Linked DNA regions of Coturnix japonica. The protein of the gene in region 2 interacts with the protein of the main gene of each other region in a biochemical or structural test. Links are inferred from orthologs where the notes say so. Each region holds a gene or a part of one and is shown on either strand. Other genes may lie near its edges.

Region 1 (6,211 bases), about 12 Mb from region 2:
TTTTAGTTTTGTCTGGGCTTCTAGACCACTGTGAGATTTGAAAGTGTCATGGCACAGTATTGGCTAGCAGTTGTGCCAGCAGTTTCATTACTAGATTTAGGAGGTAAACTAACTAAAGCCTCTTGCATTCATTATTCTACCCAATGTGTAGATACTAAAAGTTTGTTTTCTTCTTTAGAATGAAGAAGCAAACAAGACTCAGGTAAGTCACTCTAATTCATCACTTGATCAGTATTCTGCTGTGATAGAACTAGCTCTGTCTTTCCTTATACTGCTAGCATATGGTGGAATCATGAGATGCTTGTTACACTGGAAATTGAGACAAATGTGTCTACAGAACTAATAGTAGTGATCTCCCATACTTTCTCTTTTATATCATTTGCTTGCTCAAGCATGTGAGTTCATTGTTTAAGGGAGGTTTTGTTATTCTTATCACTGACACTGTTGTCCATCTATTCCAGAATGGTAGTGAGGCACTACCTGCTGGTCAAGCTGACAAATTGAAAATGGTAGGTTCAATTTTAGAACTTTATCCTGATGTCATTAAAGTTCATAGTAGACTATCTCCATGTGATACAGGAAATACAAGTTTTATATATGTTCAGTAGGAATGTGTAATACTTGGATTTTGCTTTCGCAACAACTCTGACACCAATTTTTTCAATACTTTTGGCTTCAAGGGAGTTGACCAGATGGACTTGTTTGGGGATATGTCAACACCTCCTGATGTGAGCAGTCCCACAGTAAGTAGACTTCTGCTTTACTTATCTCACTTCTATGTTCAAGAGCAAACTTTTTCTGAGTAGTAAGATCTATTCTGTTCTGGTTTTACAGAAGCTTCTTCCTTATTATAGAAACATACTGGAAACTTAGAGCTATGATAGTAGGAACTTACTAAATAGACTAGCTAATATTCTTATCCAGCAGTATTCACTATGGACAGTGTGTGACAGAGACTGTGTGACAGAGATATTATATACTGTTATGTTGTTAGCCATAGGCCAAATAAATATGTACTAGTAGCATATACCTGTGCTGTAAGTAGCAAGATAGGAACTCAGTTAACAATCTTTAAAGTTGAAGCTTATTTTATGGATGAGTAAGTAAGTTCCAAGTAGACTTGTAGCTATTACAAATGTAAGCTAGGTCCATAAAATAGGGCCTAACTTCATTGAAGTATGCATTTACCTTGTAACAACTCATTGTGACTTCAAAACTGTACTAGTTTGCTCTGGAATAAAAAGCTATAAGCAGTCATGCAACAATTGATGTTGCAATAGATGTCAACAGAGCTAGTGACTAGTCTTACTCTTCTGTCACCTGCTTTGGTGGATAGTGTGTTAACCTTCTCCACCTGCAGATTGCTTTGTAATCTTACTCCAAAGCTGAGATTGCAACTTGGAATCACTCTAAAGCAACATGATTTTACAATTGTTTTAAAAAAGGACTAAAACCCAGGCTGTCACTGGAGTCAAGCTCACCTGGGTGTAATTAGTGCAAATGACTAAAACTTCTCTTAAGTCCAGTTAAATGAAGAGATCTTGAAACTGGTGTTTTCAACAGTGAATGTTTTGAACTAAGTAGCTGAGACTTGATTACAGCTACCAGGCTTACAAAATGGGACCATAATTTGACACCAAATACGTATTAGTACGATGTGCTGGATACCAGATCTCTCCTTTTCTAGAAGTTTTCCTTAAGCTTGTGTACTTTGCAGTAGGTCATACAGAAAACTAACTTTACTTTTCTTTCTGAACAAATAGGAAGCTAAAGAGATTCTCTTAGTGGATCTAAACTCAGAAATTGAGACCAAACAGACTTTTGTAAAAGAGGATCTCTTCTTGAATGGCATCACACCTTCTCTTCCGCAACCAACGCCACGGCCACCTCTCTTCTTGCCAGAGGGTTCTTTCTCTACCAATCTCAGCTTCTTTCCCACACCTAATCCAGACCCTTTCAGTGATGATCCTTTTGCACAACCAGACCAATCTGCACCACCTTCATTTGATTCTCTAAAATCTGCTGATCAGAAGAAGGAAAATCTGAGTACCTTAACATCGGTGGGTAATGGTGCTTCAAATGGTGATGTTGACTACTTTGGTAAACAGTTTGACCAGATATCTAATAGAGTTGGCAGACGAGAAGCACAGACAAGCCAGTGGCCATTTGACAGTAAGCCACCCGCAGCAAGAACTCCAAATGGGGTACCAGAGAGAGAACAGAATGGCTTTCTTAAAGCTCCATCAAACCTCTTTGTGGAAGATCCTTCCAAAGGAGTAACTCTGCAAAATGGAGTAAAGCTGGATTCTGAAAACAATATCCAGCTCTTGTCACACGAATCTATTACAATTAGCCCACCACCACAAAGTAACAAGCCAGGAAGAGGAAGGAGGTCTGTCAAGGTGAACAATGTTCCAGTAATTAATGGTGATATGCATGCTCTTACTTAGAGAATCTGGGTGAAGGAAGCTTTACTTTCTTCATTCTACGTAACTGACTAAAGAGCTCCACAGCATATCTCTTCCACCTGCCATGCTTACTCTAACCTCTCTGCAGTCATGGTAAATCCTAACACTCATGAATGCTCCATAGTAGCTATGATTACTAAACATATGTTCTTTTCCTTAATGCTGCCATACTTCTGTAAAGGTCTGGTAAGTATACTACCGTGAAATACTGATGCTAGGTACAATGCCAGTAGCTGTTATGATAGCTATGATAAATACACATCACCTTGTGGCTTCTTAACAATGAGTTACCAATACTAGTTTACAGAATTTGAAGTGGCTTCACTGTACCTGCCTACGGAGGGCAATCTCAATGACTGGCCTGGTCATACACAGGGTGGCTCTGGGTTAATCTCTTGCAGTCAAGTGATGCAGAACTCCGTTGATGACCTTGTCATAACTTCAGAGGTCATTATAGTCTGGGCAGGAGTATTTATTTGTGAGAAGAGGAATCTCATTAGGATAACAAGCAATTCAGTTATTCCAAGTCTTGCTCTTCTGCTGTTGACCTGGAATTACTATATATTATACAATGCCAAGTTTATCAGTAGGCATAAACTGGTGAAGTTTGAATCACTTATACAGAGTACCTACAGAATACAATAAAGCTTCATGCTCTGCTATAGCTAAACTAACAGCTTGTAGCTCCAGACTAAGACTTCTTAACCATGTTAGTTTATATTCTGCTATGTCATTTCACAACAAGTTTGGTTGTTTTTTTTTTCTTTCTAGGCTGCCTCAAGTGACTTGTTTAGCTCAGACTTTTTTGCACCAACTACAGAGAACCTTGGTGTAAATTCATCAGCACAGACAGGACTGGTGCAAACTAATCGACTGGACCTCTTCAAAACAAATCCTACCACAGCCCCTCCATTAGCTGGCCTAGGTTAGTTCACAACCTATATCTTAAATTCAAACTATTACTCCAATCTAAACCCACCATGGATGCTCTAATTACCTTTTGCTTAATCCGTGTGCTGTCCATCATAAACTATTAAATTCTGTGAATTGGGGACCTAAATTCTGCATCTTCAACTAGAGCAGGGCTTTTTGCTTAAACTTTGACAACAAATCCAGGTTGTACCAGGACGCTAATGTGCGTGTCACAGCTTGAGAAGCTAGGGTACCACTGTTGCAGGATCTTAACTACTTACATGGAAGTAACTATCAACCTCATTTCTGTTCTTTAAGGACTGACATGAAGTGAAGGAAACAATACTAAACCCTTTTTCAAAGGCTACCTTCCTCAGTGGCATTACGTTAAGCGTAAATCAGTGGATTTTTACAAACAGCACATGAAGAATGCCTTTCTGTTATCAACAATGGAATTGGTGCACTTATTCTTGATCTTGACATCACTGAAGCACTGTGTAACAATCATGTTCCCCACAGGTGGCTTGCCATCATCATGGAGTACAGAGATGCCTGCCTTCACCCAGGCCACATCGGTCTTTCCTGGGTCTATGATGCCTACCCAGTCTGCAGGATTTACTCAACAACTTAGCTTTGGCCCTCAAGCAGTGACAAGCTGGAGTCAGCCTGGATCTTTTGGTCCAACAGCATCTCAGTCCTCTGGTATCTGGGTCCAGCCAGCACAAGTTCCACCTGCTCGATGGGTACAGCCATCCAGCACTGTAAATCCCTTCCAGAGTAATGTGTTTGCATCTTCAATGCTACCCACTCAGACAGAGTCTGTATTGCCCTCTGCGCCAACAACAAGCCCACCTCAGCCACCACCTAGAACTGCACTTCAGAAGGAGCTATCCAAGAAAGAAAGTGATGCTTTTATTGCTCTGGATCCACTTGGGGATAGAGAGATGAAAGACGTCAAGGAAATGTTCAAAGATTTCCAGCTGACAAAGCCACCTGCAGTACCAGCAAGGAGAGGAGAGCAGCAAAGTCTTTCAGGTGCCTCCAGAGCTTTCAGCATTTTTTTTTTTTATTAAAGTACCCATTCCTCAAGATAGTACAGGTCATAGGGATGTGAAACTTAGCAAGCTGTCCAAAAAGACTGGTAAAATTTTTCTTGTATTTGAATAGCCACTTGCTTATTCATTTTGAATATAATTGGTTGAACTTTAAGGTCAGTATGCTGATAGTGCTTAGCACACATAAAAGCTGTTTAGTGATATAACAGAATGTCTCTTCTTCCTAGAACCACTGAAGCCTGTTCCCAGACAAAGTGCACTACCGATTGATGTCCTGTTTGAAAGCCAACCTAAACCAGACCTTTTCAGTGCCTCCTCTGTAAGTAATAGATGTTTTCTCTATGACTGTTACAGCACCCCACCAATAGCAATATTTGTGTTGATGCAGTGGCTTTAGAGAACGTGGGGAAAAAACAGTCTTGCATACTTGATCTAACTAAACACTTGTTGCAAGAAAGCTAACAAAGCGTTATTCCATTTGGTTTAATTCTAAAACCAGTGCTCCAAGCTGTAAAGCCTCTCTACAAGTACTTTGTTTCTATATGTGGGAAGTTTCTACAAAGGACTGTGAAGTAATGGAGAAGCGGAAGACTTCTGCAGCTATGCTTACTTCTCTGCAGAGTACATAGAGCAGTGTTGACTGTGCAGGTCTTTTGCTGAACAAATACTAGACCCTATGTCCAGTATCCTCTTGGGGGAGGAAGTGGTCTATGGAGACCTCATTGTGGTCTTCTAGAAGGGAGGGAGCCTATAAACAGGGAACCTATAAACAGGATGGAGAATGACTGTTTACATGGGTTGATAGCGATAGGACAAGGGGGAATGGTTTTAAACTGAGACAGGGGAGGTTTGGGTTAGATATTAGGAGGAAGTTTTTTAACCAGAGCTGGTGATGCACTGGAACAGGTCACCCAAGGAGGTTATGGATATCCCATCGCTGGAGGCATTCAAGGCCAGGTTGGACATGGCTCTGGGCAGCCTTGTCTGGTGGTTGGAAACCCTGCACATAGCAGGGGTGGTTGAAACTAGATGAGCATTGTGGTCCTTTTCAACCTGGGCCATTCTATGATGATTCTATGATTCATTATAGATACACTAACTTGTCTCCAAATACACATGGCTTTTCCAAAGGATACCTTACCTCAAACTAATGTGAGTACTAAGGCAGATTTAGATCTCCCTTTATGCTCCTTGAAGCATGGCAGCTAATACCTGTTTAGCCAGTGCTTTTCAGTATTCTTTCCAGAAGGAGTTTGAAATCAAAACCAGCTGAAATAACCATGAAGAATAAAAATTGAAAAATGTTTAATGACTGATTTATTACTTTTCTTGGTAGGAATCTCAGAAACAACCTTCTGGCCCATTTGGTGGTCCTTCTGGCAACCCTTTTGCATAGACCAGGTAATATTTATTGAGACAAACTACTTCATGCTCTGAAATAGTTTTCAACTAGCTCTTTGCTAACGGTTTTCCTGAATCAACTACACTGGCCTAACTTTATTGCACCTCTAAAGTACTGCTTGCTGTGCACTGGAATCATTCTTCTAAAGACCTTTGCTTAGAGCTGTACATGCTGTCTGCCTGAGCCTAGCTAGTGTCACATTCTTATCAGTAAAGATTCTGTTTTTACATGGTCTTAAATATCAAAGTCATAATAGATGTTTATCTCCTTTCCTAGAGGAAATTTAATGAGTGTGCCAAATCTGTGGGACATGGTTTTTTCAGGAGAAAAGCATGCTGTAGCTCTCTGAAGTTGAATTTTTGAAGTACTATTCA
Region 2 (6,809 bases):
CAACACAATAAAGCAACCCAACTCCACGTAAATTTAAACTAAGTTTAGATGCTCTGATACTTTTTCTTTTAGCAGTTACCCGGGTGCAGCTTCAAATAATTAACATGTTTCACACATTCCATTCAGGCAAATACTTAGTATACACAAAAATATTCCTGTGACTACGGTGATGGTGTTACACTTCTGACAGCTAGCTACTGAGTGTCTGACAGAGCTACACAGAATCAAGCGCATTGAAACACCCAAAGCTGGTCACCTAGTGTTGATACAGGTGGCCTATGTTCCTCAGCAGGAAACGTTCTGAGAAGTTTGAACACCAAAGCGACCTGGCAATTGCAATTCCATTCTTCTAGTTTCAGTAAATCACATGAAAACCAGCTCCAGGAAAGCTCTCAGCATATGACAGGGGTAATTAAAAATACTTCCAGGACAAAAAAACAGAGAACTGCCAACTCATGCTAAATATACAGAGAGGGAGGAGACTGCACCAATACCGCACAGCCACGCTCCCGAAAACTGAGCATCCAACTGCAAGCCAAGCACAAACATGTGAATGGGACTGTGGATGGAAGCTCGACAAGTCTCGGTATCAATCACAGCCTGTAGGTGCACAAGAAAATACATCCTACTTTTATTAGAGCAACACCCTTCACAAAGCTGAGATCACTAATCCTGCATGCAGCCAGCCCTCACACACTGCAAGAATCCTGAGAAAAAGAGAAAAAAAAATTAAAAAAAAAAAAAAAAAAAAAAAAAAAAAAAGGAAATTTCCCCCTCACATTCACTCTCAGAAGCTGTGGGTAACACAGGCAATTGAAAAAAGTACCATAAGGAGAATGTCAAAGCCAATTTTAACATGTATTTTTGTGCCACAAAGCTTCCTGAAAATTGAACATGCACAGCATTACATGGAGACCAGCTTCAGCTGCACATAAAGCTTCTAAAAGTTTAATCAATTTAAAGCAATTAGTGGATATGTATGACTGGCTTAGATATGGCTTATTTTGGTTAACCTGAAATGGTTTAATAGTCTCACCATTAGTAAGAGTACAGTCTGCATCAGGTGACTTAAAATCAAACTTACGTTGAAGCTCGTGCTTCACTTCCTACATCGTGCTAAGAAAACAGCAGTTCAGTTCTAACAAATGCCTTTTGTTCTCTGATACCAGCATTTAAGGGTATTCAAAGTGACAAAACCTAGTTATTCATAATGGAAATATTGCAGGATTCCCTCCATGTTACAGCACTGTTTTGATACAGCACATACTCAGCAGCAAGCACCCAACGTTTTATGACAACATCCTAATTAGGAGCTGGGAATGTTTGGCCATGTGACTTGAATGCCTGAAACTCAGTCATAAGAATTGAAGCCATTTATAGCCCGTACTACTCATTTATAATTTCTGATACCACAAACAAATTAGCCTTCCCAATCCCTCAAACTGAACCAAACTGACCTGAAAAACGCAGTGTGCAGCACTCTGCACACACAGCCCTTACAGCAACAGTACAGGCCTCTGAGCCCCACATCCTGACAACCACAGAATCATAGAATTACCCAGGTTGGAAAAGGCCTTGAAGATCATCAAGTCCCTCTCAATGACCAAAATCACCTCCCAATGACCAGCAGTCACCTGCAGCCAGCAAGCGACAGGCCCAAAAACACCACAGAGAAAACACATTTTCCTCATGTTTTCTGCTAAAAATAAAATTACATCTACTCATCTGCTTTTAAAAGTAGTGCACACATGCAAGTCCTAGAAAGGCTTGGGTTGGAAGGGACCTTGGAGTATCATCTTGTTCCAACCTTGTGCTGTGGGCAGAGAAGCATGGAAGTCCAATGATAACCTTCCTTTACAGTAAATATATTGTTTTGTTTTTTGTTTTTAGTTTAAATGAGCACATTTGTAGCGAATTCTTATAAGACAGCAGCTAAACACTGTGCAAGAAACATACACATTCACACAGCACTCCAGTTTTTCAAATAAATCACTTCAGGTTTCCTTTGTCTATATCTATCAAAAACTTAAAGAAACAGAGAGAGCTTTCCAAAGCACAAGACCCAGATCTCCATTTCTTATTGTACCATTTCATCTGTGAACTGCTGACAACGCGTGCATTATATAATTAAGAATTTCCCTCCATACTCAGTTCTGGTGAGGACACAACTCAAGCACCGTGTTCAGTTTTGGGCCCCTCACTACAAGAACATGTTCAGGCCCTGGAGTGTGACCAGTGAAGGGCAATGAAGCTGGTGAGGGGTTTGGAGCACAAGTGTTATGAGGAACAGCTGAGGGAACCAGGATTGTTCAGTCTGGAGGCGGCTGACAGGAGATCTTATTGCTGTCTAAGCCGATGGGTTGTGGTGATGTGGGGGTTGGAATGTTCTCCTGTGCAACTAGCAATAGCACTAGAGGAAATGGCCTCAAGTTGAGCCAGGTGAGGTTCAGGTTGGATATTAAGAATAAACTTCTCCTCAGAGTGGCAAAGCATTCCAACAGGCTGCCCCGGGCATGCAAGGATTGTGCAGATGTAGCACTGACAGACATGGTAGGGATGAGTTGGTGGACAACCTCAGTGGTCTTTCCCACCCTTATTGAATCTACGATCCTACAATGCTTTGGATGTACTTCACATCAGTGCTTTAGGAAACATAATATTCCACTACATCGGTGACCAAACCAGCAAAAAAGAAAGTAAAATAGTTTACATGGCATTACCTAGAAGGCCAAGGAAAAACCAAAAGCCTGATGACAGTTCTTCCAGAGTTCAATGTAGAACTCTTTGTATTTATGGATTCTTCTCTGTTGTATTTTGTCACTGTCCACTCAGTGCAATTTAACATCTCTTCCTTTCCATGTCCAACCTTTTCACCATGTTAAAACACACTCAGATCATGCTAAAGATCTTCCAAAACACTGCAGTAACAATTCCGAACAATAACCCATTCCAAAAAGATAGACAGAGGCTTCATAAGGCAGACAGACAAGGGGAAACTTTGAGCAGATGTCACCTGCCTTGAATTTGCTGGCAGCATTTGCAAAGGTACGAAGAACACAGAAATACGTATGTATGGGAATGGCACCATCTTCACTGGTTTAACACAACTGCTTACTGCCCAACTGAGCCATTGCCAATGAAACAGTTCAAAGATTAAAAACCTGAAATTCATGGCATAAACTTTATTTCAGCGGAGAGAACAGAATATAAATGCGTGGTTTATTCTCTTTTCATCTGAAAAGCTGACTTTTTACACTAACTTGAATATTACTTTTGCCCAAGATGGAAACAAGCCACATATTTGTTTCCTATTCATCTTCCACACCAGAACTCACACACCAAAACCTAGCAGGCTCGTATACCGAGGGAGCACATGGTGGATCCTTTCATAGAATTTTAATACCTCACCCAAAACAAAACTGGAGAGTCGGAATTAAACAACTCTACAAACAAAACACGAGGCCAGGCTGCAGCTCTGCTTTATTTCCTCGCAGCGCACACTCTGTGAAGTCAACACTCTCCAAACACTAAGAATAACCATTATTTATGCAGAACCAGATGGATCTACGAGATTTTTCTTTTTTTTTTTTTTTTGTCTCGACAAATATTTGCTGTGACGTTTCCCCCACCCGTCAGCAGAGACGCACGGTAAAATCCTACGCACCGCGGAGCAGCAGCAGCACCGGGTTGTGGGCTTACGAGAACGGCGGCTGCGATGTTTCAGACCCGTTCCACGAGGGATTCGGGTTGACCGAGCTCCGAAGGAAGGCTCGGCAACAATCCCAATTCATCCCTTAACGTTTATCTCCGCGTTTTCCCCACGGAAGCGCCCCCACAGCCCTGACTACACAGACGGAGTAAGTGACAAACGGCGTCACACGCAGGGCCGCCCGCTGCCCGCCGTCCCTCCGGACACGCCGGTACAAAGGCAGCAGGCGGATGAAGGCGCGTATTGTCCGGAACCAACGGCGAGGACGGACATTGGAGCCGGGGCCGCCGCCTGGGGTCTCCCGTACGGCCCCACCTGGCAGCCCCCGAGAAGGAGCTCGGCACGGCTCGGTACAGCACAGCACGGCTCGGCTCGGCCCGGCCCGCTCTCCAGGCCCGACCACCGTCCCCGGGGCAGCCCCGCAGCCCAGCCCGCCGCGGCAGCACACACCCCGCCCGCCTCCCACCGTAGCCGTGCTCTCCCACCCGCTTCGCCGCGGTAACGCTTGTCGGCGCTGCCCTACCCAGAAGCTCTCCACGAAGTACGCCATCATCATCCCGCCGTCGCCGCCCCGGCCCCAGCTCGCCCGGCCCGGCCCCAACCGCCGAGACGCGACGGAGGAAGCAGCCGCCGCCGCCACGCGCCGCCCTTCCCGTCACGGCGCACCGCCTCCCTCCACACGGCGGCTCCGCCCAACGCGCGGCCGGATGGGCCGTCAGAGCCCGGGACGGGTACGGTGCGTAGCGTGCGCATGTGTAGAATGCGGTGCTGGGTAAGGGTCGGGCTGAGTAACGTGAGGCGTGGAGGGCGGTGTTTCTCTGAGAGATCCATAGCAGGGTGCTGACTGCAGGACCTAATGCTGACACTGAAAGCACATAAAAGCTTTGCAAAAATATTGCTTACAGTTCTTATCTCTTCCCTAGGTTTACAGTGGTTGCTACAGAAGGATGCTGGCTTGGTTAGCTGCTGTCCCGGTACAATTGTTTCTTTGTTCCTATAGCCTAATGGGAGTGGACAGAAAGGAATGCTATTCTGATAGCTGTGACTATATGTGAGTGTTTCAGAATAAAACAAATATCCCCACTGCGTGCCAGCACAAGCTCTCATGGAAGATTCAAGTAATTTCCTGGATTAATATTATAAATGCAGGGATAGGGAGGTGATTGTCCCTCTCTACTCGGCTCTTGTGAGGCCCCATCTGGAGTACTGTGTCCAGGTGTGGAGCCCTCAGTACCAGAAAGACATGGAGATTTTGGAAAGGGTCCAGAGGAGGGACACGAAAATGATCAGGGGGCTGGAGCACCTCCCCTATGAGGACAGGCTGAGGGAGTTGGGTTTGTTCAGCCTAGAGAAGAGAAGGTTGCGGGGTGACCTCATTGCAGCCTTTCAATACCTGAAGGGAACTTACTCCCAGGAGGGGAGTAAACGCTTCTAAAGGGCTGACAATAGCAGGACATGGGGAAATGGTTTTAAGTTAAAAGAGGGAAGATTTAGGTTGGATGTTAGGGGGAAGTTCTTCACTAGGAGAGTGGTTAGGCCCTGGAACAGGCTGCCCAGGGAGGTTGTGGATGCCCCGTCCTTGGAGGTGTTCAAGACCAGGTTGGACGGGGCCCTGGGCAACCTGATCTAGTAAAGGTGTATGTTTGGTGGCCCTGCCAGGCAGGGGGGTTGGAACTACATGATCCTTGAGGTCCCTTCCAACCCGGGTCATTCTGTGATTCTGTGATTCTGTAATGCATTTATACTTCAGAGTATAAAAAGCACTTTCTCTCTCATCTATGTCATCTACATAAACTTGGAGTACCATAACCATGTGCCTCACAGTAGAAACATGAAGAGGCAAGCAGATTTCTTGGCTACAAGGCAGCCCACGATGGGGATGGATCACTAGACTGAGGCCAATGGGATGAAGTTCAGCAAGACCAAGTGCCAGGTCCCACACTCTGGGCATAGCAAAGCCCAGCAATGCTGCAGGCTTGAGGCAGAACGACTGGGAGACTGTGCTGAAAAATGCACCTGGGGGTGTTGGTTGATGCTCGGCAGAACACGAGTCAGCAGCATGCCCAGGTGGCCAAGAGGGCCAATGGCATCCTGAATTGTATCAAAAATAGTGTTGCCAGCAGAAGCAGAGAAGTGTTCATCCCTCTGCACTCAGTGAGGCCGCACCTCGAGTACTATGTTCAGTTTTGTGCCCCTCACTACAAGACATGGAGGCCTTGGAGCATGTTCAGAGAAGGGCAACACACTATATTAGCTAAGACTTACTGGAAGAACTTTCAAGTTACAATACCAAAGGTACAATGCATCTAGACTACAGGTCTGAATATAACTGAAAAACAAAAGTTAGGTATTGCATTCTACCATGGAAGCTAAGCTAATTTGCTTCATGTTTTAACCATTTGAAAATCAATTATGAATTCCAACCAGAATAACCACACACCGTTATTGGGTATACCCCCTTTTTTACCACCCTAGCAGAGAACAACAGACAAGGAAAGAGGAAGAAAGTGAATTGCTAGGAGTCTCATGGATCATTTAACTGTGGTAAGAATTAAGTTATGTTGTGGGGCTTTAAAATCAGCAGGACTGTATTCTAGCCACACAGTTGTACCTGCCTGGCTGCAGACACTACCTGGTAGCTTAATAATTCACTTGCTTATGACCTAACTGCTGGAGACATATTGCAGCATGGGTTTGGTTTTTTGTTTTTTGTTATTATTATTATTATTATTATTATTTTTAGTACAAAAACTGCAATGAAATGAGCGATCACAGGTGAGATAATGGCACAGATTCCAGTTCTGGGCAGAGTGGAATTTCTATTATTTCTGAACTTAAGAAGAGTTGTGCATGCGCAGCTGTAGATAATCACATTTATTACGACAAGAAATCAACTGAATATTAGTTTGTTTTTTCCAGCTTCTGGTAAAGGCTCTTTCAAACCTAATAATGACTTTTTGTACTCTCTTGAACCATTCGCTAGCAAGTTTCAGCTGTACTGCTTTCAGCATCCCTGGAATGTATTCCATTAGGCTGCATCATCTGACTCACTGTATACTTGAAAGTGCACCTCTATTGATTTAGTCACCATGCTTGATCA

The links. The genes of interacting proteins can lie anywhere in the genome.
Region 1: the proteins of FCHO2 (region 2) and DAB2 form a complex in vitro, tested with the Homo sapiens proteins (2 studies listed by BioGRID). The link is inferred for Coturnix japonica from reciprocal best matches to the Homo sapiens genes FCHO2 and DAB2.

What each region holds. Positions count from the first base shown.
Region 1 is NC_029547.1:11,302,062-11,308,272, reverse strand, and holds part of DAB2 (disabled homolog 2), read left to right. Parts: intron 1-178; coding exon 179-202; intron 203-461; coding exon 462-509; intron 510-680; coding exon 681-743; intron 744-1,763; coding exon 1,764-2,402; intron 2,403-3,239; coding exon 3,240-3,393; intron 3,394-3,899; coding exon 3,900-4,415; intron 4,416-4,662; coding exon 4,663-4,754; intron 4,755-5,771; coding exon 5,772-5,831; 3' UTR 5,832-5,836; intron 5,837-6,211. UniProt on the Homo sapiens protein: Adapter protein that functions as a clathrin-associated sorting protein (CLASP) required for clathrin-mediated endocytosis of selected cargo proteins.
Region 2 is NC_029547.1:22,818,668-22,825,476, forward strand, and holds the start of FCHO2 (F-BAR domain only protein 2), read right to left. Parts: upstream 4,266-6,809; coding exon 4,233-4,265; coding exon of another isoform or gene 3,940-4,232; exon of another isoform or gene 3,602-3,939; intron 1-3,601. Other genes in the region: serine/arginine repetitive matrix protein 1-like, read left to right, coding at 3,940-4,445, 4,633-4,672. UniProt on the Homo sapiens protein: Functions in an early step of clathrin-mediated endocytosis. Has both a membrane binding/bending activity and the ability to recruit proteins essential to the formation of functional clathrin-coated pits.